Linked DNA regions of Oreochromis niloticus. The protein of the gene in region 3 binds, or shares a complex with, the protein of the main gene of each other region. Links are inferred from orthologs where the notes say so. Each region holds a gene or a part of one and is shown on either strand. Other genes may lie near its edges.

Evidence for each region.
Region 1: the proteins of mtor (region 3) and mlst8 are in contact, whole or in part, in a crystal structure (PDB 4JSV), measured with the Homo sapiens proteins. The link is inferred for Oreochromis niloticus from reciprocal best matches to the Homo sapiens genes MTOR and MLST8. Residues at the interface, in NP_001373429.1 of Homo sapiens: Leu2269, Arg2270, Met2271, Ala2272, Pro2273, Asp2274, His2277, Leu2278, Thr2279, Leu2280, Met2281, Gln2282, Val2284, Glu2285, Val2286, Glu2288, His2289, Asn2292, Asn2293, Glu2536; in NP_001186102.1 of Homo sapiens: Tyr20, His22, Asp42, Ser43, Gln44, Val45, Asn46, Tyr62, Asn87, Glu105, Gln148, Thr174, Arg221, Tyr222, Leu224, Ser268, Arg270, Gly271, Trp272, Trp274, Ser290, Lys313, Val316.
Region 2: the proteins of mtor (region 3) and rptor are in contact, whole or in part, in a cryo-EM structure (PDB 6BCU), measured with the Homo sapiens proteins. The link is inferred for Oreochromis niloticus from reciprocal best matches to the Homo sapiens genes MTOR and RPTOR. Residues at the interface, in NP_001373429.1 of Homo sapiens: His597, Thr600, Pro632, Val644, Ser645, Gln646, Thr647, Ala648, Val649, Ala653, His686, Ala688, Gln689, Glu691, Met721, Asn722, Pro723, Ala724, Phe725, Met727, Pro728, Phe729, Arg731, Lys732, Leu734, Ile735, Leu738, Thr739, His743, Tyr771; in NP_065812.1 of Homo sapiens: Phe278, Lys282, Cys283, Ser285, Leu286, Pro288, Gln380, Ala381, Asp383, Leu384, Asp387, Glu411, Gln412, Thr414, Ala415, Val418, Trp419, Thr421, Met422, Arg427, Asn428, Glu431, Gln432, Lys973, Ile974, Asp979, Leu980, Glu981, Ser982, Lys986.
Region 4: the proteins of mtor (region 3) and fkbp3 are in contact, whole or in part, in a crystal structure (PDB 5GPG), measured with the Homo sapiens proteins. The link is inferred for Oreochromis niloticus from reciprocal best matches to the Homo sapiens genes MTOR and FKBP3. Residues at the interface, in NP_001373429.1 of Homo sapiens: Glu2032, Tyr2038, Phe2039, Gly2040, Arg2042, Tyr2088, Val2094, Leu2097, Tyr2105, His2106, Arg2109; in NP_002004.1 of Homo sapiens: Lys160, Pro161, Leu162, Ser163, Lys170, Tyr198, Lys201, Gly202, Gln203, Pro204, Asp205, Ala206.

Annotation. Positions count from the first base shown.
Region 1 is NC_031973.2:21,211,852-21,219,772, reverse strand, and holds the start of mlst8 (target of rapamycin complex subunit lst8), read right to left. Parts: upstream 3,317-7,921; 5' UTR 3,172-3,316; intron 2,995-3,171; 5' UTR 2,976-2,994; coding exon 2,847-2,975; intron 1,904-2,846; coding exon 1,852-1,903; intron 1,762-1,851; coding exon 1,599-1,761; intron 1,520-1,598; coding exon 1,444-1,519; intron 1,341-1,443; coding exon 1,188-1,340; intron 1,069-1,187; coding exon 944-1,068; intron 860-943; coding exon 696-859; intron 382-695; coding exon 263-381; 3' UTR 1-262. Other genes in the region: voltage-dependent T-type calcium channel subunit alpha-1H, read left to right, coding at 6,242-6,378, 6,568-6,670, 7,685-7,821.
Region 2 is NC_031971.2:37,769,307-37,777,146, reverse strand, and holds the start of rptor (regulatory-associated protein of mTOR), read right to left. Parts: upstream 3,305-7,840; 5' UTR 2,549-3,304; intron 776-2,548; 5' UTR 766-775; coding exon 598-765; intron 1-597. UniProt on the Homo sapiens protein: Component of the mechanistic target of rapamycin complex 1 (mTORC1), an evolutionarily conserved central nutrient sensor that stimulates anabolic reactions and macromolecule biosynthesis to promote cellular biomass generation and growth.
Region 3 is NC_031984.2:28,353,363-28,360,560, reverse strand, and holds the start of mtor (serine/threonine-protein kinase mTOR), read right to left. Parts: upstream 3,260-7,198; 5' UTR 3,117-3,259; exon of another isoform or gene 3,087-3,116; intron 2,670-3,086; 5' UTR 2,656-2,669; coding exon 2,527-2,655; intron 2,343-2,526; coding exon 2,234-2,342; intron 2,120-2,233; coding exon 1,887-2,119; intron 1-1,886. UniProt on the Homo sapiens protein: Serine/threonine protein kinase which is a central regulator of cellular metabolism, growth and survival in response to hormones, growth factors, nutrients, energy and stress signals.
Region 4 is NC_031980.2:4,843,037-4,850,750, forward strand, and holds fkbp3 (peptidyl-prolyl cis-trans isomerase FKBP3), read right to left. Parts: upstream 2,767-7,714; 5' UTR 2,715-2,766; coding exon 2,610-2,714; intron 2,338-2,609; coding exon 2,236-2,337; intron 2,160-2,235; coding exon 2,058-2,159; intron 1,642-2,057; coding exon 1,506-1,641; intron 1,349-1,505; coding exon 1,281-1,348; intron 1,207-1,280; coding exon 1,109-1,206; intron 880-1,108; coding exon 825-879; 3' UTR 552-824; downstream 1-551. UniProt on the Homo sapiens protein: FK506- and rapamycin-binding proteins (FKBPs) constitute a family of receptors for the two immunosuppressants which inhibit T-cell proliferation by arresting two distinct cytoplasmic signal transmission pathways. PPIases accelerate the folding of proteins.

The DNA.
Region 1 (7,921 bases), on a different chromosome or scaffold from region 3:
CAAACAAACTATTATGTCTGCCTCGTCATTGACAGATTTCTTTCTGTACGTCTGTGGAAACAAAATAAGTCCATTAAAACAGATTTTAACTTTACAGATTTTTATTTTGGCTGTGTCACTCTGCGCATATGCCAGAGATGGCCACTGTGCCCGCTTCCTCAAGTCGATCACTGTACTGGCGCTGACATACGTGACATGAGTGGCACCCTCATAAGAGTCTTTAGTTCCTGTCTGACAACCTTTTATCTCCTCCTTCTGCTTCTCAGCCGAGCACGCTGTCATTAAAGGCCAGACACACCACGGCCTTCTGGTGGCCGCTGTATTCCCTTTTGATCTCACCAGTTTCCACGCACCACAGGCGAGCCAGGTTATCTGAGGAGGCTGTGGAGTGAGTGAAAAAATAGAATTAAAACAAAGCAATGTCCAGCCTTACATGGAAGTGTCTAAAAGTTATCATAATCTGAGAGCAAACTTAAAGCCATGTTTCATTTTTAAACCCCTTTTACATCATGGCAGATGTAATGGCAGGGCAGGGGTTAGTGTGACAAATCAAGACAAAATCAGAAAATGAGATGTCCTTTTTATCTTACAAACAGCCACATTTCAAATCTGCAGCCCTCAGATAGATTGCAGTGTTTTACTTGAACAATTCTTATTCAGTTTTGAGATCTGTTGCAGTGTGCTGCTGTATGGACCTGTAACAATATACTGCGAGTCTCCGGAGAAGGCGCAGTCCCACATCCAGCCTCTGGATGTTTCTCCCGGATTATTGCTCTTGATGCTGAGCTCTGTCATCAGTGAGAAATTGGACGTCCTCCAGATCTTACACGTCTGGTCTGCCGAGCAGGTGGCCAGCAGCCTGGAGGCGACGACGAATGCAAAATGTCAAGTTGTATTTTTGGTGGGGAAATGAGGGGGAAATTGGAGAAAAAGGTTCACTCACGTGGAATCGGGGCTGAACTTGCAGCGGAGGGAATAGCGTTTGTGCGCAGGGATCTTGGTTTTGGGAATGAGCTGAGTCACTTCATCCCCGATGCCTCCAGCGAGGTTCCACACGTAACAGTTTCCCTTTAAAAGAGAGCCGGGCAAAAAAAAAAAAAAAAGGTTTTCAATAATATAACACGATATAAAACAGTGAATTTATTAACCTGCGCCACATATGCTGCAGATTTTTTTAAGCATCTGACCGAGCTGTTGACTGCTGCCATGTAACTCGCATCTGGGTCAATGTGAACTGAGTTGATTGAGACCTCCGGCTCTGGAATCAGCTGCTCATTATGGTCTGTCTTCAGATCCCAGATATGGATCACTCCACTCTGGTCTCCAACTATAAGCTCTGCCTAAAAAAACATAATGAAATCTTCGGCATTAAGTGCAAATGCTCCAGATAGTAACCAAGAGCACAGCCTCACCTGATTCATCTGTGTGTACTGAGTGTCTCACCTGGTTAGGATGCAAGCACACACAGTTGATTGGAGCGTTTACTTGGAAGATCCTCTGACACTGCAGATTTCTTGACCTACAAGGTAGAGCAGGGATCAGAGTTTAGTTTGCTGATCATTAAATAAACAAAGACCAGTGAGCTTGTCCTTCAGTACCTCAGGTCCCATATGCGAGCCATGCAGTCCTCTCCTCCTGTGTACATCCAGCGTCCATCTTCGTGGAAGCCCACAGACGTGATGTTCTTGCTAACTCCATCGTAGTTGATGACCGGGTTGGGGTTGTTGGAGTTCAAGTCGTACATGCGGATATGCTGATAACCTTGAAAGCAGAATGCAAACATTACTATGAAGCAAAGTAACATTAAGGTGAGAAATGAGAAAAAGGATTGTGGGGAAAATTGTAACCAACCTGCGGCTGCAATCATACTTCTGTCAGGTGTGACCTCGAGTGAATTTACTTGCTGAGAGTAAATGTTAAGGAAGTGGACAATGTAGGTTGCTGCTATATTTTACAGCTCATCAAATTTAAACTGCTAGGTAAGGTCAGGGTACTGTCAGGTGGACAGATGACATCAGAAAGGAGTCTCTGTGGACTATGATGTTCACAGACAAGATTTTGATCTGTAGTGAAAGCAGGCACCAGGTGGAAGAGTGTCTGGAGAGAGGAGGAATGAAAGTCATGAGAGAGAGACAGGCGTAACAGTCAAGATAGTCCACAAGAGAGGTGACAAGAGTGAGCAGGCAGACTGGAGAATGTGGGGATGAGTGTCAGAAGGATAGCAGCAAGAATGAAAGGGAAGGTTTGTAAGATGGAAGTGACACCTGCTATGATGTGTGGTTTGGTGACGGTGACAGTGACAAAAAGATACGGGACAGAGCTGGATGTGGCAGAAATGAAGATTTCAAGATTCATTCGGAGTAAAGAGAGTGGTTTGGAGACAGGTTAGAGGCAAGGCTGAGATGGTCTGGACCTATGCAGAGGAGAGACAGTGTAAATGAGACCTGTGAAGTGTGAATATGGAGCTGCCAGGCAGGAGGAAAACAGTATGACCACAGAAGAGATTCTTGGATGTAGTGAAGAAGGACATGCAGAGGGTTGGTGTGACAAAAGAGTGTGAGATGAAGGCAATTACCCACTTCAGCGAACCCTAAAGGGTTTATAGAACATCTATAAACAAATAGAAAACACAGAACTAAAACAAAAGCACTTTTTGCGTTCACGTGGATTTTTGTGAGAAGCTTGTTTTCTTTTGTTGCCTTGAAGAGAACCCCCCCCCCCCCATAGACAACATCTGATTAACTTTGAACTTTAAACCTGAGATTTATAAATGGTCATAACCTATAATTATTCAAACATGACAGTACACATTCTGCGTAAGCCTCCATATATCAGGGTAAGGATACTGAGTCCTGGTGCTGGACCGTCCTGGTGCAGATCCCGCTGTGGGCCTGCCAGAAGCGGACAGTGTGGTCGTATCCAGCCGTGGCCAGAATGACCGGGTCGCTGCCCACCGTCCCCTGATTCACATTCATGACGAACTCCTGGCGGATACTGCAGGGAAATTCAATTTGCAACAATTAAAGTAAAACACAAAACACAGCTAAAGCACAAAAAAGGGTTAAACTGTGAACGTATCATAAGCTAACTTTAGCAAGAGAGGCTAGCCAAACTTATAGTCTATGCAATAAACAATAAACGCTTCTAGTATGAAACCATTAGACCCCTTACCTATAACTACACAGCAGTACTACCGTTTTAAAAGGACAAATTTCTTTAGTTCCCCTTTGTTGTTGTTAGTGTTGAAGCCAGCCAAGAAGTACGTCTCCTTAACGCGTCCCTTAGAAACATAATAGTGTTTCAAGAGTTCCGGTTCAATCACTAGATCAGTACCGCCCTCTGCTGGTGTGTCCACGAGGAATAGACATGCTGCAATTAAATACAATGATTTTCAAAGAAGTGTATACCAATAATTCATAATATTAATTAAGACTAATCGTATTTCATTATGTAATATTGCAACATCTTTTAATTTCAGCTTTATTAGCATCGTCTGAAAAGTTGCTTGTGTCAATATGGCGATATCTCAGTCCTAATAGTCAGTACCAAAGTAAAAGAAAGTAAATAATAGAAAGTTGAAAAATGCCATTGAGTCAATAGGATTTAAGATGATCGCTTCTATCACTGTAGCCTGTGTTATTCTAAGTACTACTAAACTTTTCGTACATTTCAAATGGCAAGGGTTGAATAGAAACATAGAAACATAGCTGGATGTATAGAAACGTGCCAATATGGATACAGTATTGTTGCTTAACTAATAAGGGGTTTTTTTTTCGGTATATAAAAAATTACACTCCAACCTCGTGACATCATCCTCTGTCTGTACAACCAGTTTCTAGAACCGCTCAGAAAAACCTCACAAATACTGTACTCAGTACCACGATCAACACTAGTTCTAACAGGTATTAAACACATCTAGTATCAACTTGACAGTTATGGAAGACTCATTATTAACAATGTAAAAACAAAAATGAAACAAAAACTATTGCAAAATGATATAAAACTAAAGACATCATAAATCAAAAATCATCATGGTATATTGTCCCCTAATAGTTTCATATATGATCTACTGTCTGAAATGCACTGATGTACAAAATATAAAATTATAAAGATTGAATTAAGATTGATCATTATCTAAAAAAAACAACATAAAACAACAACATAAAAACTCAGGTGATTAAAAAAAATAAACATGAGGCACAATCAATATGATTACTATTTGTTTTTGTCCTAGTTTAGTATTTATTCCTAATTTTGTGTCATTTTTTGGTGTTTCTTTGGGGCAGATCAGGTTAGAAAAGTGTTGCCAGTTAAGCAACATTTTGTACAAAAAGTCTAGGTGCTGTGCTTAAGCTTCAGTCTCCACCTTTTCGGCCAGAACTTAATGATTAAAATATTAGCTTCAACACACCCGCTATCAATAGTTTCTTGGGCCCACATTAAAATATTATAAGATAAATTTTAAGAATAAAAAAACTTAAAGGGATGAAATTACTGTTTAATAAAACAGTTTGCTCTTCATCGTCAACATCCGGTTTCAGGATGGTTGCTGTTGGTTACAGCTTCACATCAGAGTTTGGCTCATTTACCTTTGATTGGCCAAAGTCAAGGTGAAGAGGAGAATTTACAATCAGAAACCTGTGAGTCTGTTTGGGGGAAAAATGTAACTTGAGTATTTTCGAAAATGTAAAAATGAACATTTTCAGAGTTAAGTGTAATAAAGTGGTTTTAAATTTCTTTAAAATAAATTGTAGTAGCATAATTAGGTACAGAAATGTCCTCAAAGCATTGTTGGATTTTCTTTTGACTGATTGATTGATTGAGCTAAATTAGGAAATGGTTTTCCAAGTTTTACTTTTGTATGTTTACTTCTGTCTGCTGAACCTGAGGATAACATGTTTGCAAACTGTTAAATATTTCTGTCTCCAGTGCCTATAGTTATTATCTAAAAGAGGCTAGTTAGTTAGCTAGCTAATGCCATACGCAACTCTTTTATCCAAAACCAGTTAGCTAATCCAACCAAACTTTCATAAGTAGAAAACAAATGGAGAGTTTATGATTGTGTGCCGCCTATTCATGTTTATGACAGTGTCATGCTAACAGCCCCATCATGTAGCCTCCAATGACTGTAGCTTTAGGCTAATGCGAAGTCACTAAAACATTAGCATGTTGCCTAAATAAGGTACACTCAACGTTAATGTGTTGAGTCACTGCTCTTCCGGACTACAACTTAAAACAGTGAAAAGTTGTCAATTCATTTCAGTGAGAATTACAATAATTTTCTTTTGTTTACCTTTATTTGACAGCTTTCCTAACTCATTGGTTCTGTTTTTGTTATATTTCCAATTATTAATATAATTAATTAATTCTCCATCTAACACACTGTAAACACTGTAATAGTTACACCCTTTTTGCACATGCTCTTTTCTTCTCAATAATATTCCTGTCAACATTCTTGATATTTATTTATAATCACCTCTGTCAATCCTTGATATTTATTATTGAGTGATTTGTATATATTGTGCTGTTTCTTAAATTTGTAAATCTGCGACATATTGTATTGTTAAATAGTCTAGTCTGTTTCTGTTACTGTATTGGAGCAAATGTAACCCACATAATTTCCTTAGGGATTAATAAAATATACTGATTCTGATTCTGACTGATTAACCTGTTTTGCAAGGATCCTTGCAAATGGCTGTGCGCTATTTTATCTACTCTGTATTCTACATTATAATCAATACAGATCCTTTTGGCCACTGGATAAGCGGAAGCGAATGGATGGATGGAAGTTTTTACCTGGATGATATATAAAAGTCACTTTAACAGAAACTGATTGCAGATATGTTTGAGAGCAACAGTTTCTGAAATACTCAGACCTGCTCCTCTAGGGTCAACAATTAGCCACATTCAAAGTCACTTAAATTCCCCTTTGTTCTCTGTTATGATGATCAGTTTAAATTTCAGCAGTTATTTTTGACCATGCTTGCATGACTAAATGCACTGAATTGCTGCCATGTGATTCTCTGATTAGGTATTTGACTTAAGGAGCAGTTGAACAGGTGTAATGAAATGTATCCAAACATTTAACAGAAAAAATCCATATATAGCCAACTCTATTAGTGTGGGACTGCTTAACTTTTTTATGCAAGAAAAGGAAGTTGTTTCTCCAAATAGATCTGTATATCATGGTTTTCTTTGCCCCTTTTTCCTGACCTCTCTCAGATGCGTTTCTGGTTTCATTATGCATGAAATCCATGATAGACATAGAGGCGTCGTTGTAGAGGAGCAGCTTCCCTTCCCAGAGGTAGTGCCTGTGTGCTTCGGACTAAAGCAGACGAGTAGACCCCGCAAATGGTTCCTCAAAATAGTCTCTGGCCCATATCCTTTCTGTACTGAATGAAGTAAGAATGTCATTAACACAATTTCAAACCTTTTTTTAAAATTTTTTATAGGTTTTTTTTCTTGTATACCACTCAATATGTCCACATTAAACACTTTTAGTACGAAAGCTTCCTTTGTTGCTGATAAATTTTATGAATGTGTTTGGACCTTAACCTCTTCTTCTACATGGTTGGATTATTTGTCCATACTGGTGGTCCTGCTCAGCTGCGTGAATGACGGCATGTACCAGCCTTGTGTAGAGGCGAAAGAGGAGAGCTTCACCCGAGAGGTTATTATAATGAGCTGAGCATCAGAAGAAGAGACTAGCAGACTAGAAGTGCTTATCACTGTGCAGAAAAAATTATGCATCTTCATTTTCATCATCTTTGGCTGGCGGTTCTAGTTCTGTAGAAAAAAAATAGTCCTTAAATGAACTATTTATAACACAATTTGTTGATGTTTTTCAGGGGAGGGCCATAATTTCGGGAATCATGAATATTCTGCTAATATTTCTACAGCTGAACTTCAAATCATAGCAATTTAGATGAAGATGGCACAACAGGCCCAACAGAAAGTATACAGATGTACAACATGCGAACTGTCCCTTTAAGGACTAACAATAAGCTGTAGTTTATAACACACTTCGTAAACGCTCTCATTTGTTAGTCCTATAATGTTCTAGTGTAATCTTGATTCTTGGCTTCACGATGAAAAATCCCAAAGTGCTTTGTCAAGGACATGTTTTAAGTTTAAAATGTGAGTTTTTGTACCATATATGATACTAACAGTGTTAGTCCTACACTTAATATTTCAATTCTGCAGCTGCTTTTTAAATGTTCTTCTTTAAAAACTGACAGGATTACTCACATCATTTAAAGGATTTGTTGGTTTGTCTTATTTGTGGCCAAAAACAGATTTAACACAGAAAGAGAGAATTTTGAATAACATACATGTATTTAATTTTCACCTATTTCTGTTGAATGACTTTAATTAAAATGGTCATCTCTTTTTTCTTAACCTGACATAAGTCAGCATTAACTTTGTCAGAACAGTCACTTAACAATATGTCATCTTAAAGAGGAGGTAACTTATTGCAATAAGTCACATTAAACAGTAAAATCTTGTAGGAATGGATCAGAGCCCATAACCAGACCCTCAGGCCCCTTACAAGCTCAGATGCAGCATCTGGATATAGTATGTTATATCTGTGCTACTGCTGTTATTACCAGTGATTGTATGTTAACAGTATGCCTTGTATGTTTTGATATTTGATATGATGATGTTTTTCGTTCTCTGTATACAGATTTTGGGTTCTCTCGTCTTTCTTTACTTCATCATGGAAACGCTCATTAAGACAATAGCCCTGGGATTCATCGGCCATAAAGGAAGCTACCTGAGCAGCCACTGGAACAAGTTTGACCTTTTCATCATCTTTGCAGAGTTAGCATCCATGTGTCTGTATCTATGTGTCTCTAGAATTTAGTTTCAGTTTAAAAACCTTTGCAGAGGAATTCCAAAAAGATGCAGTTTTAGATTATTG
Region 2 (7,840 bases), on a different chromosome or scaffold from region 3:
CAGTGTAATAAAGACGAGGGTAGCCAGTGATTTGCTGCTGTTTAAAGACTGATAAGCTCTTGAAGCACAGCGTGTAGCATCAAGGAGTTTGATTTGTCTTTTTAATGAGTTGAATTTTTGAGAACTGGCCCCGTGGATAACCATTTGACCCACCCTGTCCTATAAAGCAGGAATTTTCTGCTGTAGTTACAAACCACAAGAAATCCTTCTAGGATAAAAATCAATGTTCAATCAATACGTTACATGAAAGATGGTATCAGAGTTTGATCTTTTTGTGGGAACTGCTGATTAGAGGGGAAAAACCATACTATAATATTTATCGTTTTAAAATAACAGTGTTGAACATTTCTAAAGCTGTATCTAAAGCATCAAAACTCATTAAATTAAATCAACAATCTTAGATTTCCTGTTTTATTGGTTCCAGCTTAAAACTAACACAGTCCCATCAGATATATGAGCATGAAAATGCAGCTATACAAGTCTCTATGAGCTGAGATAAAAGGAAAAACAGCCTCTGTGACCTCAAAGCAGAGCTCACACAGGAAACATCCTCAGGCTCTTGAATTACTCCTGGACATGGATGAGAAGAGAAATTACCCTGTCCTTCATCCGCCAGCTCTGCGCCAGGGCCTTGGAGCCCTCAATCTTCTCTGAGTGCCTCTTCTTCATGAAGGCCAAGGGAAGTTTCCAGTCATTCATATCGGCCTCCTCTTCCTCAGCGAGGCCCACGGCCGGTGAATGAAGCAAGTCTGAGTCCATTTTCATCAGGGCCCTGCTGGGAGAGCGCTCATGTTAATGTCACTGGTTGGATTTTGAAGTGTCTTTAGCTGTAGCTACTGGGTATCCACAAAAAGATTTGTAGGCTCACTTTAGCCATTTAATTACTGCATATAGTCAATACTGACACTAGTCTAAAAAATAAATAATTAAAAAACTTAAATCTTAAATTTGGAGAAATTTCCAGTCCAGATGCAGCCAAATGTGCTAAATTTGCTAATCAAAACATACTGTGCAGCTATTTTATTAAGTAATGGAAGATAAATAATATATAAACACAGTAAAAACAGAATATATACACAACAGATGTAAGCATCCCTAAATACATTTTTGGTTACCAACTGAGATATTCATAGGAAAATTTAAACAGCAATAAAAGCGCGCTGTCAGATAACTGCAGTAGGCCTGTTCAGAGAGCTCGAGACTTGGATCCAGATTTAGATAAATTTATTCATTCAAACATCTTCAGTGTTTAAACAACATGTAAGAGAACTTTTGCTTCCTTTTTTGGTTATAAAAATAAAACATTTGATTATATTATCTTAGCACTAGTATAAAAAAAATTAACAATCATGACTTAGATCCACAGGTCTCTCGGTGCAGCTGTTGAAGTCCTACAGGATGAAGACCTGACCTCAGAGGCAGCCGTCCCTGTTTGTACGTTCTTGGACATGTTTGTCCCTCTTGGCCATGCTACCACCACAAATACAAGCCATTTCTTTTGGGCCAAAGTCCACTTTGTCAATATGGATCACCCATCATCTGATAAAGATCCGTCCTCTTAAATCCTTCCTATACAGGATTGGTGAGGGCCAGGGCTTATCCAAGCTGGCATTAGAAAGCAGGTCTAACACAGCCAATTTATAATCACAAACACACCTCACAAGCATTGTGGGAAGAAGCCAGAGTACCCAAAAGAAACCCATGTAGGCACAAGAACAACATACAATCTCCACACGCTGTGTGGACCAGGGCCGGCCGGCACATTCAAACAGTTGTTGCTGTTTGCTGACCTCTGCACTGTCCATTCTGTAACTTGGATTGAAAAATCTATCTCCAGTTGTAAACAATGGGTACACCAAAAGCCCCCCAAAGGCTCGGTCATCATCAGACTGCTACTGTCCCATACAGTAACAACAGGTCCATCCCTTCTTGTACTGTTGTTACGGGCTATACTAAGCAGGCTGTTTCTACACTCAGATAATAATCTGATTATCAACACTGGCTGCTGACTTTTCCACTTTATGCCCTTTAAGTCATGGGATGGTGGTTATGAGTCATTTTTATGCCGTGTGAATCTGATGCTGTGAATCCTGTTTGAATGAAACCCACAACAGCAACTGAAACCAAACACACTCACATCTGGCTTCCTCCACTTTATTTTAACAGGCTAGCTGCCTGACTCTGTAGTAAAGCAACAGCTGCAGAGGTGTTTCAGCTCTACAGCTGGAGCCACGGCAGAGGAGGTCGATGGGTTTTATCTTTAGTGCCTCTGCATTCGTGCTAAAACGGCCCAGCTGTGTTAAACTTGTCTGCACGGATGCTGGCGAGCAGCAGGCTCAGTCCAGTCCAGCTAGCTAAGCTAAACTAGCGCGGCTAATGTAACAGCTCTGCTGCTGTCAGGTGTCAGACTGCACCGAGGCCGGTAATATTCACTTAAAGCCTTTTTAAAGCGAGGCTCTGAAACCACACACGCGTGACAGAGATAAGAGGACCGAGCAGATGTGCAGATAAGGCACGGAGAGTGTCAGCGAAGCGTGCAGATGCAGACCTTGGTGCGGTGGGATTATCAGCCCGGGCTGTGGAAGCTCTCCTTCTCCGGACAATGACAGACACGGTCGCACACACAATCCTGGTCAGCAAATTGTAGGGCAGCGTCCAGAGCCTGTAGAGTAAGTCAAAGCCGTCAAATCCGAGCTGCACGGGCGCGTGTTTGCAGGGGAATCTGCGGCTCCTCTCCCCACGGCTCTTCGCTATGGGAAGGGGCTGCAGGCGAGGCCCATCTTCACACGGACAGTCTGCCACAGCCACACGTAACGCCGGCCGCACTTATCAATGACTGGGCTCGCGTGGACTCCTTCTACGTACCAGCGGCCCTGGTAGTCGGCTCCGAGCGACAGTCTTCGAGGAAATCTCAAATAATTCCGAGAATTTCTCCGAAGAGGCACTTCTTCAGCACTTCTGCAAGGGCGCAGCCATCTTGGGTTGAACCCAGAATGCACTGTTGGGGCGGCGAAGCTGTCGTGAAACGTCACAGCTGTTGTTCCTGGCGTCACTCACCAAAATATAAACACACGTACTCACGTCAGCCTGAAGCCTTTGAAACCTGCACGACAAAGTGGCTTTGAGCTGTCCTTGCACGAAGGTTGTAACTAATGAAAGGTTGTAACTGAAGTCTTTGTAATACTTGCAGTTTTAGCGTAAGTGTACATTTACCAGCGCAAAACCTTTTTTTTCCCTTCAAAAAGCATTTACGATTTTGTAAATACTTTATTTAAATGATAATGGCCATTTTTTGTCAATGTTTTTTTTTTTTTCTTGAATCGAAATTAGTATTTCTTACATATAATTTTTATGACTTTTTCCCGTATGTTGCTCTATCACCAGATTACTTCAGCTTGACAAGGTGGTTTGCTTTGCTGCTTCCTTTGGAGGGACAAATCCCACTGTTTAGGAAAAGGTGCTTTGGAATTAAGAAAAAGAAGTTATTATGGTTTTGGTTTTCTTTCTTCTCCTGACATTTTTCCCTTGAATTTAATTGTAGTATTCTTTATAAGTATTGAACTTTATGTTCTGCATCTTCAACTTACAGTAAAGTTCAAAGAAAGAAAAAAAACTTCAGCTTGACAAAGTGCTTTACAACTTCATTTGAGAAAACAAATCTCGTTATTTAAGAAAAGGAGCTTTGTTATTTTTAAAATGAGAACTGAGGTCTGGAAACAAGGACTTTTCCCCCCCCCAACATATTTTTCCCAACTACCTGTTTTATGTATCAAATTTCTATTAAAATGTGACTTCATAAAATCCCAAATAGGTTGTGATGTTATCAGCTTGGTTATTAGCTTACAGAAATAACTTGTACCCCATGCGTGGTTAAATACGTCTCACCACAGCTCCACCAATTATTTCCAGTAGGCTTAAATGTATTGAACTGCTGCCATGCAATTGGTTGATTAGATATTTGTGTTCATAAACAGCTTAAAGGCTGTACTTAACAAGCGCTTGTGAATCTGGTCCTTATTTTTGTACCAAATGTCCTTATTTTTCCTTATTAAAGGGAAAAGCTTTAACAAAAAAAATAAAGAATACACTTACACAGGTTTGTGGCCATATTTATTCAGCGATAGTGGGAAAAAGCACTTGCATGGATCCTTCCTTCCTTTCATCCTAAACACCAAAATATTTGCTTTAATTGTGAAACTATTTCAGGTAATTTTGCTGTCACTTGGGGGGACATTTGCTAAATGGCATTATTTTTTAATCAGTACCAGCTAACATTAATTTAGTTGTTACACCATAAGCCATACAGTATTTATACAATCAGTTGACTTGTTGTATGAGTAGGACGTCAATACTATTGAAATGGACTGACATTTATACAGCAGTTCTCTTGCTTAATAATCACCCAGTGTGCTTTAAATTACCAGTCACATGCACACAAGTCTCCTGGACAATTTCGAATAATCGACTAACCTAACAGGCATGTTTTTGGACTGTGAGGGGAAACCAGAGCACCTGGAGAAAACCCACTTAGTCACAGTTTAAGAACATGGAAACTCTGTACAAATAAAATCCTCAGGAGGGCTCAATCTCAGAGCCATCTTACTGTGAGGAAATAGCACGAGCCACTGATGCCACTCATAGTTATCCCATTATGGGAAATGGCATCTGGGTTAAACTGAACTGAATACCCCCTCAAAAGAACTTCTCAAGCATCCAAAAAGTTAGAATCATTGGATGAAATCTGATACAGTGTTCCAGTAACCATATCATCCATTTTCTTAACCACTCATCCAATTCTGAGTCACGGGAGGCCAAAGCCCATCCCCACTGTCATAAGCTAAGACGTGGGATACAACGTGGAGAGGAACAGAAAAAAGGCAATAACTCACACTCACACCTGAGGGGAATTTAGAATCACCTGTTAACCTTACATGTGTGTCTGAGAGAATCCACACACAGTGGTGCAATGGTTATCCCACTGTCATCCCACACCAAGAAGGTTCCTGCTTTTAAACTGCAGGCCAGCTGAAAAGCTGGAGCCTTTCTGTGTGAAGTGCATAGATTTCATTAACATACTGTAAATAAAACAGAAATGCAATAATAGAGTGAGGTTCAGAAAACAAAAATAGATTTCCATAGCTTATCTCATTCTCCGTTTCAAGTGTTACCAAACTGGATGGAAAGTATGAACTACTCTCTGAATGCAGTCTGACAATTTCTGAGAGGCTAAAACTTGCTTCTGTCTGACTGCTGTAAAACTGACTGACAGTGAGCTGTTGGGATGCTCATCCTTTTGGCAGGCTGATTTCTTGGTCAACTTTCTACTTGGTTGTTTACTCAGCTTGTCCCAGCAGCCTACTCTCGGAAAGGTCCAGATGGTTTCAGATGTCTTCCATTTCATAAATATTTAGGCCATATTCTCCCCAGAACACTCAAACCTTTAGAAATGATTTTATACCCTTGGCCTGATCTGTGCCTCACCATAGTTTAACCACACAGGTCTGTAGAGAGTTCTTTGGACTTCATTGCACTGATATTACCCCGATAAGCAGCGTGGATTGCCTGCAGGACTTTTATCTGCACATGTGTATGCCTCACTATATTATCCCCAATCAACTCAGTGTGCCACAAAGGGAATCTGGCGAAGTTTGAGACACATTTCATGAATAATTAAAGCAGAAAGAATAAACCAGACCAAAAATCTGGACCGAAATCAAGAAGATGTTTGTAAATGAGAGATTTATTTAACCTGAAAATGTGCACATCGCCCCTCAGTAGTTCATAAGGAGTGTTGTGTTATGTGTAAGTCATAAATGTGCCCAAACCCAGCCATTTAGACTGGCTTTAGCTGTGCTTTTTAAACCAGTATAGCAAACTGGTGGAAATTAGGAAATTAGTTTCTAAAATTAGAAACATTCTGTCTCAGAGTGATGCTGAAAAACTAGTTCATGTATGTATTATTTCTAAGCTCGACTATTGCAGTTCATAATTATTAGGTTTTCCCAAAAGCCTTTAAAGTCCAGTTGATCCAAAATGCTGCAGTGAGAGTCCTAACAGGGACGGAGCATATTTCTACCATACTGGCTTCTCTTCATCGGCCCCCTGTTAAATCCAGAATCCACTTTAAAATCCTTCTCCTCACATATAAGGTCTTGAATAATCTGGCCACATCTTTAAAGACCTCATAGTACTGTAGCACCCCATTAGAGCACTTCGCTCTCAGACTGCAGGCTTACTTTTGGTTCCTAGGATAATTAAAAGTAGAATAGGAGGCAGAGCAATTCAGTGCTTGTGTTAGCATTCTTCTACATAGTACAATCCACACACCACATACTTACTTTCATAATTGCATTAATTCAATAGTGCAGTGTTGTCTCTCATTGAATACTGCAAGCTGCCCATTTATTGCAGCATTTTATGATGACTGACACTTTCTGGGCGTTTGTGTCAAACCTCTGATCACACAGTCTTCTAAATTGAAGGCAATTTAAGCATAAATAATGCCACATGTCATGTAATGTAAATTAGCACTTGTTAAAATCTGTTACCTTTGTTCGTTCTGTTAATTTTCCTTAATTTGGTCTCATAATGATAATTGAAAAAATTAAGTCAGCTGTGAAAATTCAGACAAATAACAACTCGGCTCAGGAGAATAATTCAAAGTTCCAGTTTTTACACAAGTTGCTGAATTATTGATGTCATAGTCAAAATATGATGAAGATAAAAAGTAAATTTTTGGTTATTTGTAAGAAATTGTTGATCAGTGCTGTAAAGTCATGTTTTTCAATCATTTTCCTTAATATTTAATTAATTGTATCAATAAGCTGCCATAAGCTGCCCTGCAGTGTGACTTTGAAATATTAGTTTAACTTAGAGATTAGTTCTGTTTGTACGTTCTTGGTTATCCAGGTGATTTCGAGAACTTGGGAAAAAGGCAGCTGGAGTTTTTTAGGTTTTCATCAAAGACGCAGCTTCTGTTCTATAACAACTGGTGGAAAGTCCCAGGTAATAAACCCTTAGTGAGGGGCTATCTACTTTGGAGGTGATTCTAAGGGTCGTTACACCTCTATTCATCATGTGAGTTGTGATGCGAGCTGGTGTCGTAAGCCCACATATCTGCTCAACGATAGTCGTTCACAGCAAGCATAGATGGCCTCTTTTACTCCTCTCTCCAACAGACTTCCTTCTCGGCCCAAAATGTGAACTTTGGCATCATCAAAAGCGTGACCTTTGTCCTAGTGCAGATGTACAGCTGAGTCTTGTCCTGCTCATCTATGTTGTGCCATATTTTTGTGGAGCGGATGTTTGGTGTCTCCTGTTTGGAGATCAGAGCTCTCCTCACTGCACTGCACCGTATACGAGCTTGTTAAGCTTTTGTTTGGCTGCTTTGTCCTTGGGATGCAACAGTTTTTGTCTGAGGGTGTTGCTGGGTTTGAAGTGCACTGAAATGTCATGCTTGGAGAAAATTCTTCTGAGTTTCTCTAACAAATCTACAATGCTGTTTTGTCTGTTAGTCTTTTTCTCCCTGGTTGTTATCTGACATTTCTTTAATTGTTTGTGTTCCACTGGGTGCCGGGAGTCAAAGAGCTGGTATTAGTCTCTGTGTGTGGATTTCAGGTAAAATTCATTGTTGAGGCTTCCACGCTCTATAAATGAACACAACACATTCCAGAAATGGTAACCTTTTCCTTTGTATCCTCTGTGGTGAACTTGATGTTTTTATCCACTCAGTGGAAAACACATCAAGTGAAGGACTGGACCTCTTGGGTTCTGATTTTGACCCAGGCGAAGCTGACATATCTGAACCCAAGTCTTGTCCCCATCAAAGAGCCCAGAGCTT
Region 3 (7,198 bases):
TCCACTGCAGTGACTATGGTGCGTACCATTTGAAGCTGCAAATCGAAATTTCAGATTTTGGTATTTCGTATTTTCAACTTGATCACCCTCTGAAGTCGGACTTCCAACTCAGAACGTCTGCAGAGTCTCACCAACCCCGACTTCACAATCAAAGACAGCGACAGTGCACTTAAACGATAGTAAAACTGTAAATGTTGTCACCTGTACTGCCACTGCAATGTATTTGTGACTCATTAAATAATTAGAGCACTGACCACACTGTGTTCCTACTGATACATGAATGGCTCCATCTTGCTAAGGAGCAAAAAAGATCCTGTTTTTCTTTACTTTTTCAATTTTACTGCTGGAACACATTCAACTTGGGAGTGAAATCACTGATCTCTTTACACAACCAATCCTATGTGTGTTCTTCTGACCGTTTACCCATGCTTAGTGCATTTTGATCACTTAAATTTTTTAGCTTGTAGGATTTGTTGTGTGGACAGTACGGTAGCACTGTTGCCTCACAGCAAGAAGGTCCTGAGTTCAATTCCACCATCAGGCTTTCTGTGTGGAGTTTACATGTTCTCCCCGTGTTTGCGTGGGTTTTCCCCAGGTACTCCGACTTCCTCCCACAGTCCAAAGACATGCACTTTGTGGGGATAGGTTAATTGAAAAATCTAAATTGTCCATAGGAGTGAATGTAAGTGCGAATGGTTGTCTGTCCCTGTGTGTTAGCCCTGTGACTGGCTACCTGTCCAGGATGTACCCCGCCTCTTGCCCTATGACAGCTGGGATAGGCTCAATCGCCCCCCGCAACCCTAAAAAGGATAAGCGGAAGCGAATGGATGGATGGATTTGTTGTGTTCTTTGTTTCTGGCACTGATTGCAGCTCAACCATGAATTTTAGTTTTTTTATTGCCAATTTGGTTTTCATCTCCCTTTTCCATATCTCCGTGCTCTTTTATAGTTATTTCCCAACAACATCATGTGGACATTCTGGGGAAAGTAACTAGATTTAATATTCTACAGCCAGTAAAAATGTGAAAATGGTAATTGCATAATAAGCTAAATAAAACACAGCAAAGGCAAGCACATTCTCTGATTTCTAATTATTTCTATGTTCAGGATTGTTCTGGACTGTGCGTGTGATGCCCCAGCCAATAATAACAGTGTCTGGGGTCGGTACTCTATAAAAACATAGTGACCGGGTTGCATCAACATCTCATCAAGCTTCTCTCCTGGGAGGTTTTGCTGATGCCACAGCTGGGCGACACCCACCCACACGCACACAGAACAGAGCAAAGAGGCCACAGTGAAGAGGATGAAGGATTCACCCTGGTTGCATGCACACATAATCTAGCAAAGGTGCACCTTGAACACTGCGTTGTGCGGAGGTGTAAACATGTTTGTGCACTTCAGAATGTAGGCATTGAGAAAATTTTTAAAAATATGTTTTAGGAAGCTTCACTACTCTCCAGCTCACTCCAACACCACAAGCAAGTTGTAGCCAGAGAGCAGAGGCCACATATTTTAGACCTTTAAACCACATGCAGCTGCATAACAACAGCTATGTAACAACAACTGCTTGATGCAACCATCAAGGAGGAAAATATTAATGAAACGGTTACAAGGGCATGAGCAGATTTATAAAGGAAACATTTTAGCAGGGAAAACAGAACAAGAATGTGCTGATATTTGGGGTATGAGAGTGCATATGAAGTACTACTTGTGCCTTCAACCCAAAATACACTAGAGCAACTTTCAACACTGCCTTCACTACAGCAATAGATAAAGTTATTACAGCTCCCAACGTGCCCACATTTCCAGCACATGTAAACACCACCAATATGTGGTTTTATTTGAACAGCAAACACCACAGTGACTGTTGTCTGCTAGTGACTTACTGCAGCATGGCGTCTCCCTTCATTTCTGTCGGCTCCCAACCATTCCAGAGCTCTCTTCACTTCAAACTCCACATACTCAGCTGTAAAGGTGTCCCCCGCCATAGAAAGGTGGCCCATAGCTTTAGAGGCCATCTCCATCACCACGGGGTCGCTGGAAGGGAGCAGGTTGCGGAGGTAGTTGGCGAATCGACTGATCCTGGTGGCATTGCCTCCTTCAACTCCAATTAGACTCACTGATGAAAACAATAATCATTTTAAAGTGATAGAAAATAAGAGATCTTAAATAAGTCCAAAATTAACAGCGCTTAAAAATATAACAATTTTAACAACCTTTTATTAATGCTTACCTATGGCAAGAATCCCTCCTTTCTTTTCATTCACATCAGAGCTGGACACCAGCTCAAATATGTGGTGGTTCAACTCATCGTAGAACGTAGTAGCTTCATCTTGGCTTAACTGTGGGACAAGTGTCAAAACAGCAAGTATGGAAAAAGGAAGGAATTGTTTACATGAATTTGTACCATATGACTTGTGAAACTCTCCAACTGTAGTGGGCAACAATCTTGATTAAGTATCCAGTATACTAAGTGGTTTTCCCATGACAGCTTTCAATTATGCACATATAGGTTATTGCTGTTACCTCTCTGAGTTCTGTAGTCACATAGTGCTGCAGGTCTTTGGCAGATTTTGCTCGAGTGTCTTCATTTCGACTCTTCAGTCCACTGACAAACTGCTGCAGCACAGTGGCTGTGCCTGATATGACCACCATTTGGACGGCCTAATCTGCATGGGGGAGGGCGACATATGTGGTTTCAATGCAACATTCCGGGTTATTAAACAACCAGTATCTAAAAACAACAACAAGGTAAACAGTACACATGGAAAGAAGGAATGCAAGTGCTAATCTGATAAAACACCAGGTTAATGTTATTAACTGACATTGGTCCCAGCTAGCTAACGTGCCTGGTTAGCTAATAAAACAAGCTGCAAAGCTTGCTAGTTATTAGGAAACATACATCATACTTCTTAACACAACTAATACAAAAGCGGACACGCCCGTGTAGTTGCGGTGTAATAGGTGAAACCGGAGCCTCGTGAGTGTTTCGTGCTTGTTTTGATTAGCTCAAGCTAGTGCTAATGTTAACCTATTTCCCGTGACAACCCAATAGCAAGGAGGCAAAGTCGCTTTGTATCACTTACGTGTTTGTATTACAATGCCGAACACTTAACTGCTATTCGATTTATCCGGAATATCTCTCATTGTACGTCTACCTGGCCAACACTGCGCAAGGTTGGCTAGCTGATGAATTAGCTCGAGTTAGCGATACACACACGGAACTTCACAAGCGTCAAGTTGCGCAGTCTGCGCTGAGCTGAGCGCAACTCACACGTCCTTGAGTGTAGTTTCGAGAGCCTCTCGTCTTTTTATGTGAATGTTTTTTGAGGCCCAGTACTCCAGTTACCTCAACATTTTTACTCCAGTAAACCTTTAAAATTATGGTGGACGAATGTTACTTATAATTTAACAATCTACACTTATAGTTTGTGCTCTTCCCCTGACTAAATGTCATTAAATGTCATTAATCTGGAGCACTACAGGCAGACTTAGTCTCATGGTGTAGCTACTTAATAACATTAATGATAGTCGCTTTGGTTCAACAACAATAAGTACAAAGCAGCCTTGTAAGAACATTTATAGCTCCATAATGGAGGCCTTTCATACATTTGTTTTTTATATATATAAGTTTTGAACTATCTGTAGTCTATATATTTTTTCTTTCTTTTTTTTCTTGAATACTAAAACAGCAGGGAATATTTTCCCTTAACTGTCTCCATACTTGTCATGTCAGGGAGTTTTTTTGTTTGGTTTTTTTTTTGTTGTTGTTGTTGTTTTCAGCTTTTGATCTGGTGGAGGAAATGGGCCCAATACTGCTGAGAATTTAGATAATTTAATAAGATATACAGTATAAGCATATTAGAATTTCTAGAAACAAGAGGTACACAGACTATACAGCTTTGATCTCCTCAGGACATGAATGAAAATACACTTTAAATGCAGATAATAATAAGTGTACAAAAAGCGTCCACTGCGTGCAGCAGCCCTGTGTGGCTGTTTTTTATTTTGCTGTTCAACTTACAGCCTCTTGGGGGAGACATTGACCAGGCATACAGACACCTTGCAGTATTAAAGAAACATGTCTGGCTCTACGTGGTTCTACATGAGCGGTGACATTTACCATAGTGCAGCACACCAATTAAGCGAGTACCCTCTTATTTCCCACTTGTAGGAAATTGGAGCCTAAATGTCAAATGAATTTTCATCATCAAAATGAACCACAGCTACTGTCTTTCTCCCCATGAGATCATTATAGGAGATAATTTCTCACTAGCAAACAATGTACTGTATGCCCATTGTTCCCACCCTGGGGTTTGGGGCCCAAGGGTGTTCCTTTAGAGGTGTCAGGAGGTCCCATCATCCAACACAATCACCAATTCTTCTAACTTATCAATGAATTTTACACCTGCAAAACAATCGGACTGATCCTGGAGTTTTTACTTTATGTATTTCAGCATACACGTGTGCAGCTATTGCACACCTGGCATTAAAACATGCAAGGAGACACCTGCATTTTTTCAAGTTCAGAAAAACAGCAGTAGCAAGTTTGTGTAATGACAGAGAAAAACACCCATAAAACCCACACATTTATAATGGATTATAACAGTAGAACTGAGAGCACTGGATCAGTCAGTATCACTGTGAGCCATCCTGTCATTTTGAAATGCTGAATTAATTTCAGTCATTACTGACAGTGAACCTTTCATTTGGAATTACAACCATAGTTGAAAAGTTTCTCTTTAACAGCTTTAAAAGAAAAAAGATCATCACTTAATATGAAGAGCAATGCCACACTTTAACAGGATCTCTTCAGGTTTACTAAATGAAACAACCACTTCTTACTTTCATTCTAATAGATGGATCATAATAGTGAAGATGGATCATCATTTGCTTTGGAATAACCATTTGTCATAGTCCTTCTTGCACATTTTTCTTGTGCCAAATTAAATGCATTTGAGGTCCTGTGGCACATGAAGTAAATCAAACACTGATCAGTTTATTGCTGTAATCGGCAGAGCTGCAACTTCTGTGAGCATGCGTGCATCATGTATGTGCAAATGTGTGGTGCAAATACAAATGTGCGTGTTAATGTGTAAATGCTGTGTAAATGCAGCTATGGGTTTGTGGTTTTGCAATGGGAGGAGAACCAGAAAGAGAGCTTTTACAGCCTTACAGCGCTTTACGTGGAGAAAATGAAGCTTTTAACAACACAGGAAAGAGGAACAGATTCCTACTTTTCTACCCAAGGCCCTCCTCCCTCCCTATCGTAGGTGTAGCTGGGCCAGACATATTTCACCCATCAGACACCAACTCATTCAATCGGGAAGACTCACCTTTGTGTCAAACATGTGCTTTCACTGAAAAGTTCTTGTGCGTGAGACAGAGGGGAAAAAAGACTTGGATGGTGCTTAAATGGTATTAAAAAACCCACATACATGCAGTCAGTTGACTTCAACACGCACATATAAACCCACTTCAGCGCCACAAATGTATGTACACTCACAGCTGCAGAGGCTCTTGTCCTAACAAGCAGCCGGCCTCCTCTGCTAAGTGACAGACAGGATATTGGGTGCACTTTCATCAGTCCAAGGCTTTGATTCGTCTGCCATCCATCCTGTTTATTTTCTGCTTTGCCTCTTCACTCAGCCGCACTTTTGAAATATTTCCCCCACGATGAAGCCTGTCATTCCATTTACACTGAAGGATGGAGAGAGTCAGGAGGGGAAGGGGGAAAAAAGCACTCGCTTCTGCACTAGCTCCTCCACCTACCTTATTCATCTGCCATCTATCCATCTGTTAATCCTTCCCACCTTCATCCTTCCCTCCCCCTGTCAAATGCTTCATGATTTATCCCCCACCACTTCTCCATATTCTTTCCCTTTTCTTTTTGCAGTATCCACAAGTTCTCTGGGGGTTTTTTGTTGCGTTTTTTTTTGTTGCCGTTTTTTTGTGTGGTTGGGCGGTGTAGTATGAGTCACAGATTCCTGGACAAGAATTCATGAGGTAACATCTGGTTCTAAATGCTAGAGGCAGCTCTTATCCCCTACCTGGCTGCAGCCCAACACTATATCCTGGTCTGAATGTGTTATATCTTACCCACCTGCCTGGGCAACACATTTTTTGATACCTTCACTACCTATTATGCCTGTGTTAGAGGGAGACACCTGGATAACCACAAAGCATTAATTCCAACATAGGGATAGGGGTTTTGCTCTTCCCATTGTGTGTGAAAGCACTGTAAAGCCCAGCAAAGCTATGATGGAGCAATATGGCAGTCAAGCAAAAACAATACAAACAGCACTCTGTGCTGATAGACTTAACTTCTTACTAGAAAAGCAAAGAATTAGAGATCTCTAAATCTTTAGATCAGTATCTATCGTGTCCTTTTGATGAATACAGGTAGGTCTAAATTTAGTCACTGCAGGAGATTTAAATGATTCTGAACTGAATCAGCAAAGCTGAGCAGATGAAAAAAAAGTGCAAAGTAGCTCAGAGACAATGTAGAGGGCAATTACCTAATGAAACCTGACAGGCATTTTAGATCAAATAGAGTCTACAGAGGAGAAATCCATGATGACGCTGCACTTTCTTGTCACAGTGCTTAGTTTGTCTTCTGGCACACTGCTCAGCTCCCTGAAGGGCAGCTACACATACACCCACAGAGTCAGTCTATTGATCAAGTTTCCTTCCCCTGCCAAGTCATATAGATCAAACACTATTGCTAATCCATGAATCACATTGCAGGGGAAACCTAAAACCAGCTTATGGAAATGAGGATCCTCTTTGACATTGAGTTCCTGTACATCAAAAAGTCCTTAATCAGGAGGTATAACAGTGTTTGCTGGTGCCGTTGGCTGAAAATAGTATTAGTGTTTACATAAAGGCATTACTCATCATATCCACTACAGGCCTGTGTCTTGTTCTTTGGTAATCATTTTATTACGGTGGGATTCAATATGTCAAACAGAGGGAAGATGGCACAGTTCTCTAATAGTGAATCCGAGTAGCCAATTTCACATCAAAATGGTGTCATTACCGATGGAGCAACTGAAGTATAGCCGACAGACACAGAATACAAAATCAGCTCTATGGCAGTGACTGAATCACCGGGAGTCAGACAGGTTTTGATCTTGCCGTTCATCTCCAATGGCGTCCGCGTTCGCAGTGGACTAATTTCCTAATGCACTCTGGTGAG
Region 4 (7,714 bases), on a different chromosome or scaffold from region 3:
ACCTGTCAGTTTTTACCAAGTTAAATGTCATCCTGTACAAAATAAAAACAATTTTGACTTGGTCTAGATGAGTGATTTGTCCTGCAATGTAAATCTAAATCTTTAACAAATAATCTTTGCAGTTTCTTAATAAAGACAATTGTCCTGTATTTGAGCCAAACTTCATTCTGTCTCTAGGGATTAATGCAAGCTAAAATTGGTAAATTTAGCTTTGAGGCTAAACCAGCTCCTCCTGTGTGCAAACACTGGATGCTTAGACCCTAAAGACGTGCATCACTGTACATGTAATACCTTAGTTTTTATTTCCCTGCATATTTAGACTAGTCTTGCACCTTATGGGTATATTCCTACTGAATCATCTTGTATTTATAACTTATTCAAATCTTCCAGGAACAATTAGTAGTTGGCATAAAACTGTACTGGGAGGTCTTAGTACCTCCTACACCACACGAACTAGTTCTCTTAATACAATTGATTTCAGGCTAAAGAACACGATGTAGACCGGTGTCATCTGTACCGTGACCGGTTAACTGAAATGAACACCTATATAATTTGGGGAAAATGATTTATTTCTGACATTGTACATGCAAAAGAACAAAAAGATAACATTTCACAGTCTCTTGTATGTACATTATTAACAAGCCATTCCACTTTGTCCAAATCAAACTTTTTTTTTTTTTTTTTTAAATCCAGTTGGTATATGTGTAATGTTATACTAAAGCAAAGGCATCCCAGGAATATTGCAATCCAAGACGCATGCTGATGTCCCCCTCTACCTCAAGGCCTTTAAGTGTGAATTCTTGAAATGTAGTGCATGCTTTGGGCTAATCCACAGACACCAGCTCAACCTCAAAAATCAGCTTTGCGTTGGGTGGAATTCTGGTAGACGTGGAGTTAAGGAAATTTGGCTTTCATTTAATTACATTAGCGTAAAACAATAAAGGAGGAGGACAGTTATAAACAAGAATCAAGCCACATTAGAACCTGAGCTCTGACCTTATGTGCAGAAAGCTCATGTAGTTTCATCACATCCCTTTAGAAATATGGAGATATTTATGAAAAATGCACACAAAGTACAAAATACCAAAGAGGGGGAAAAAAAGGATACTTGGACTCTGGGAGGCCTTTCTTTCCGTAAGCCCATTCAGGCTCAATCTCCAATCGAGCCGTTTCACCCTTGCTCATTGTCAGTAAGGCCTCATCCCACTGTGATGATTACAGACATTAGACATAGAAAAAAAAAAGTTAAGAAACTAAATGACAACAGCAGAGCAACTTACTCCTCTGATGACTTTGCCCAAGCCGACTTTGAAGCTGAGTGGTTTGGCCTGTTTCTTCTTTCTCGCCGCTGTAGATTGAAGAGAACAAGGACAGATTCTTCATAGCTACATAGAGATTTGATCTACATAACTAAGAAGTACAAATTACTTAGTTTAACATTTTCTGGTAATGCAAAAGCACGACTAGTGACAGAGCATCACCTTAAGGGTGTGGCACAGTCATACCTGTGGGAACATTGGTGTCAAAAACAGTCCCATCCTCTAAGGTTCCGGTGTACCAGCAGCTCACAGTGTCGCCCTTCTTTGGGAAGTTTGTCTTGTCGCCTTTCTTCAGCACTGATTTGGTGTACTTTGGAGGACCCTGAGAGAAGTAATGAAGCAGTGGTCAATAAATGTGAATAATCGCTGGGTGCTCATCAGAATCGGCTTTTTGTACAATGACTTTAGTATACAATGAAACTGTTTACCTTTATATTGAAAATATTTCCCAATTTACATTATTTTTACAGCATTTCTGAGTCTTCATGAGTACCCCTGAACTTTATATTCACTCCAGCAACCACAATCTACAGAACCAAAATCTGCACCCCGCCCCCCCCCTCCTCCATTAACCAACGTTGAGCATCAGTATCATGGACTGTATTGCACTGGGTTATAATGCACTTATCCCCATGTGGGATAAGCGGATGGACAAAATAAATTACAGAATGTCATGTTTTCCTTTTTTATATGAATGATGATGTAAAAAAGTTGATATCTGATGGTGTGCACCAGTACCTCATCCACAACTTCTGTCTTGACTTCTTTGGGTTTTTCTTCGACTTTCACAGCTTTAACCTTCTCGGTCACTTCTTCCACTGCTTCTGTGCCTTTAAACCTCTGCAAATCACACGTTTACACATTTTATGTTCATTATCAAGGTTCATCATCGAGGCGGGTGATAATCGTGACTTACTTTACTCTCGAAGAGCTGATCGTAGGCGATAATCAGTTGCTCTTTCTTTGCAGTTTTGGCAACATTTTTGATGTTTCCGAGCAGCTTGTGCTCGTTGAGGAACTGAAATAACAACAAGCGAACAGAAGGAGAAAGTTCAACTCGCTTGCGCTCAAGCCACGAAGAGCTGCACAGGTCAAACCCTAAGAGAAGCTGTTTCTATTCGTATTAATGTGCAGATAGTGCTCAACATTGTGCTCTGTTGTGCTGAGCTGAAGCACAGCATCCCATCGGAGCTAGCCATGCTGCATGCTGCACTTCACAGTGAGAATTCAAACCGGTAACCAGCAGATATCCCAACCGGAATCCCGAGGAGACTAAAGGGAGAAACATACCGAGTGGGCCGCATTGTCCTGCAGGAACTTTATTATGTCTTTTTTGGGCAAATCATCACTTTTGAGCTGCTCATCGCTCCATTCCCGTGTGGGCTCAGCCGCCATTTTGAGAGGCGAACTAGTGAACTTTGACCTCCGTGCGCAATATAAAACCGCAAATTCTGACGTTTTAATACAAAATTACAATGAAAATTTTTAAATTCTATTTTTAAATGTATTTTTACTTTTTTCCCGGATGACCTTTATTGCGAGTGCACGATAAGACATGCGTTTCTACACATTTTACCGTGAACGCGGAATAAAAGTTTAATGAAGAAATATAAGATACATTTGTATCGCTTATATTATCATCATATATATTAATATATATATTATATAGCGCTATATTGAATTAACTGTCTGATGTGTATACCGCCGCCTAGTGGACAACTAGCTGTCCAATAGATATGACAGCAGTTACACACGTGCCCCTGACTTCTATCAAGATAACTAAAGCACTTATCTAATATATGCAGTTACACCGAGAACAAACTGTGTCTCCTCCAATAATAACATTAACAAGAGAATGCACACAGATCACGTCCTGCATGCATAGTTTCTTTGGGCGTGTTAAGCATTTCTTTTTTTATGTTTTGACCGTCTGCAGTGGAAGAGGTGCATCACAGTCTACAGAGCAACACATCTATTGAATATCCTACTTAAACTTCCTGTGCATTGCGACTCTTCTTCCTCCGTATTTTTTTTTCAGGGGGGTTGATGTCATTTATGTTCCATTTTCAAAGTATCTCCCCCCGAATAGCTGGAGCCACTAAATGTAGGCTTGTGGGAAACAGGTTTCCTTTATCTGTTTATCTGTATCCATATTGGCTACTTTAAAGACAACAACTGCTCTTCCTGCTGTCTCATTACAGTGTTATGCTCCTGGGAGCATTTTACCGGCATGGTTCAGGTCACCTGTCCCTGTAGAGAGAATGGCCACTACAAGTCAATGTAAAGTTGTTCTGAATGGTCCCTGTTATCCTGTAATGATGGAAGTGTTCTTTCATTCCAGGATGACCAGTTTGATAAGTATGAAAATGATGTATATTTCATACTGTGGTCTTTCATGGCTGGCCATCGATGGTTGGACAGCACTCGCCATGAAAACATCAAATGAGGAGTGTTCTGTTTTTTGGAAGACTGGTCCTCCTTATCTTATGTGTTCACGTTTCACAGGTTAAACTAATATAATTAAGATGAGTGCAGCAATGTAAACGAGATAAGAATGGCCACAAGTAAAGAACATTTGATATGTTCCGGTTATGGTCTTTATCTTGTAGGTGCTTTCGGTCTAACTACACACTTCCCAACCAGGCACAGGGTTATCCCACATAAGGACTTAGATGTAGACGACTTACAGCAAAGACCCCCCTCTCGTGTTTGTGATGTCTCTCTCAGAGCGAACACGCCGACCTCATCTATTACACCCTGCCGTAGGCCTCGAAATCACCTTCACCGACAGTGAGAGCGCAGCTTCAAAAGGCCTCACATGTGTCCCGTAACTGTCCTCGCTATCTCCTGTTTATCAACAGCCTCGAAAAGCAGCGAGATGTTAACGATTTGCCACCGCTACATTCAGCTGGAGAGCAGGGTTGCGCAGAGTCTTTACCCTGGTTGGTTTCCTGGCAACAAGAGGGACACTGGATGAAAAGCTCACAAGGAAGAGGAGAGGGATAATTATCTCTTTAGAGGAAATCTCTCAGGTCTCATTGCTTCTCCTTTATTGCCCGGGAGGGAAGGATTGTTACAATAGCGCAAACTGCAGAGATAAATTGGCATAAAGAAAAAGAAAGGAAATCTATAAAAAGGGGGGGAAAATCTAGAATAATTGATCTTACTTGCCTCCTGATACAGTGTGTTTTTTTTAAATTTTTTTATTTTATTTTACAGGTGGCATCCTGAATATCTGTCATGTGCAGGTCTCACTTGGCCACTCTCTGTTTTTCATCCTCAGATACGGTTTATTTTTCGCATTATTCAATAATCTTTTCTTTAAGAGTTCAGAAGTGTGTGGATGAAACTTTTATTGCAGGAAGTTTGGGTTCACGTCTGGCGCGTTGCTTCGCGATAAAGCATGTTTTTTAAAATTATTTATTTATTTGATTTTTTTGCACAAGCAGAGCGAGAAGCTTAAATGAGCTCACATATCAAGCGAGGGAGGAATTTAATTTGATGCAGCTCCTGAGAGCTCTTCACATCTACAGGTTATAGAGACAAGTGATACACATTCTTTTAGATGTGCCCCTCAGCACGGAGATTACAAACAATATAATCCTGCAGTAATATTTGCAGAAATGTGTCCTTAGTTAAACTCCCTCTAACACTTGTTCTGTCAGCTTTGTCTTTGAATGTCGCCTCTTTTCTTTTCTTTTCTATTTTTTTTTGTCTAATATGACATGAAATTGATTAGAAATGCTGCAAACAATGATTGATTAATTACTTATTTTCATTATTTTGAATGTAAGAGCTACATAAGCTTAAAGGCCCATTTTCAGGATCCACTACCATCCTATAATGGCTACACAGCAGTGGCATAGTGTGCAATGCCACTTAGTCGTATTACAAGGTGCACTACTCAGTGAAGCCTTTGTGAGCTCAGTTATATCCTCAAAAACCTTTTTTCTGAACTTGTCAGAGTGTTCTTGTTTTAAGAAATAAAAGCTTTTCGATGCTGGAAATTGCTGAAAAATGGAAGATGTCATTCAACTGTGCGTTATATTCCCTTACAGAACAGCGCGAACCGGCTCGTACAGGTGTTATTTAATAAAGGTGACAGCCGGGGACCTGTGAGATGTCTGTTTCCTAAACTAGAGATTAATATATGCTTGTCCTCCTGCTCAGGTTTCGTTCCAGGGTCTAACATTTTCCGTTTGAGTCTGAACTGGAGCAAGTTTACACTTGTTCTCCTAGAGGGAGTAGAACACACTATTGTGTGATTTTTTTTTCCCTTTTTTGACAGTTTCCTACAGAGAAAAGCCTTTGTTTCTGGGAACAAGTACATTCTGACGAGTTTTAGAAGGAAGTTCCTTTTTTGTTGGTTTTATTGAGAGTACAACTCAAAGCATAAAGACTGGAGCAGACGCTCAACTAACTGAATTTTTGCTTCTTTCATCAGACTAGTTTTCAGCTATCTTAATTTTTTTTCAAAGGATGTCATATGGGATGCTTTCTTTCACATTAGTTAACACAAAAAAATCTACTATCCCAACAGAGCACTTCACTCTAAGACTGCAGGCTTACTTGGAGTTCCAAGAGTTTCCAAACATGGAATGAGAGCCAGAGCATTGAGTTTATTTGCAAAATAAAGGTACAGTTTTTGATTGTTTTGGGGGTGGCTGTGGCTCAGGAGGTAGAGCAGTCCGTCCGTCTGTTATCTTCCACTCATGTAATTCAAGCTCACTTGAGGGCTGGAGCCTGTCCTACCTACTATAGGGCGAGAGAGAGGTACAGCAGGTCATCTGCTAATTAAAAGGTTGGTGGTTGGATCACTGGCTGCTCTAGTATGCACTCCCAAAGCATCTTTGGTCATGATGGTGAACCCTGAGTCGCTCCCTAAGCGTTCACTGGAGTGTGAATGTTAGAGAGAAAGCTTGTATAAAGTGCGTATGAGTGCTTGTTAGTTATTATTAATCCCTGGCTCTCTTCCACAGTGTATCCTCTGTCCTTCCCTCAAGCCCAACTGCTTGTGGCAGATGACCACCACTCCTTGAGCCTGGTTCTGCTGCAGGTTTCTTCCTATTAAAAAAAGGGAGTTTTTCCTTCCCACTGTTGCCAAGTGCTTGTTTGAGGGTACTATTGTTGTAATTTGAGACTATATGAATAAAACTGAACTAAACTGATTGAATTGCTCAAGCAGAGTAGAAAAGCTATGTAAGAACCAGCCCATCTATCATTTACCAAAATTATTAGATATGATAGAGAGCCAGGGAGTTTGAAGGCATTTTGAAAAGTAGAGAGATTCTGACATATTGTAGGTTCAAATTTTAAATACAATTATAGTGGAGTTAAGTTAACTCTATGGCCACAGAGACACTTAAATGGGTCGGTGGCACATGCGCCTTATCTGCTAAGATGCAAAACACCAAATTTGTCTAACTGCGTTCAGTCTGACTGTAGTTCCAGCATTGAACCTCAAGGGGTCACTATGGATACAGTGTTGATATGGTGAAGCAGATTTAGCTCCACGTTTACAAAAAAAAAAAAAAAAAAAAAGTAGTTTCTGGATATAAGGTTTATAATGAGGCTTGGCAGGAGGGAAAATGATTCAGCCAGTTGAAAAGCACAACAATAATAAGTGCCATAAAAAAGTGTAAATAAGTAACATAGTGAGGGGAAAACAGTGCAACAGAGTCAACAAATCACTGTCTGGCTGGATGGTGTTCATTCTCTGTTTGTGTTATAAATGCCTGATGTTGATGTTTTGCTTTTCTTGTTTTATCACGGGGTCAGTTTAATATGTGGAATTATTTTGAGTAATAATGCGATGAGAGAGAGAGAGGAGAGGAGTTAGGTCGAGCAGGGAGTCATTTGTTTGTATCTACAATGTAATAACTTACATAAGTGCGCTCAGATAATTAATCACACTTCACCTTCGCTGCCAGTCATCCATCCCTGCACGAGCCAAGCGGCCAGAGTGCAGCTCCTCTGCTAAAGTATTACTTTTCTCTCCCCCCCTTTTCTCCTACTCATACCAACAGAATTAAAGGCTTTCATAATGGAAATCATCCCTAGGTGGCCTTGGTCCACTGTGGATAATGTGTTTTTTGCCTCAGAGCCTAATAAGCTCCCTCTAAGCCATATGGCGAGCTGAGTTCACCTGCCTCACTCTGGGCTGCGAGAGCATGTCTTTAAGCTTCATATAGAACATGATTCATATGCTGCTCCTGCTGCTGCAGCTCGCAGCGCTTGTGAGGTCGGCGGTGCTCCTCTGGGCTGCTCTGTCTGAGTGGAAGGTGGGCTAGGTTAGCAGTCAAAACTTCCACCAACATCTGGTGGTGAGAAAGTTGAACCAGTAAAACAAACAAACAGAAAAAACCCCTCTAAAAACTATAACTGCATCTCTTGGC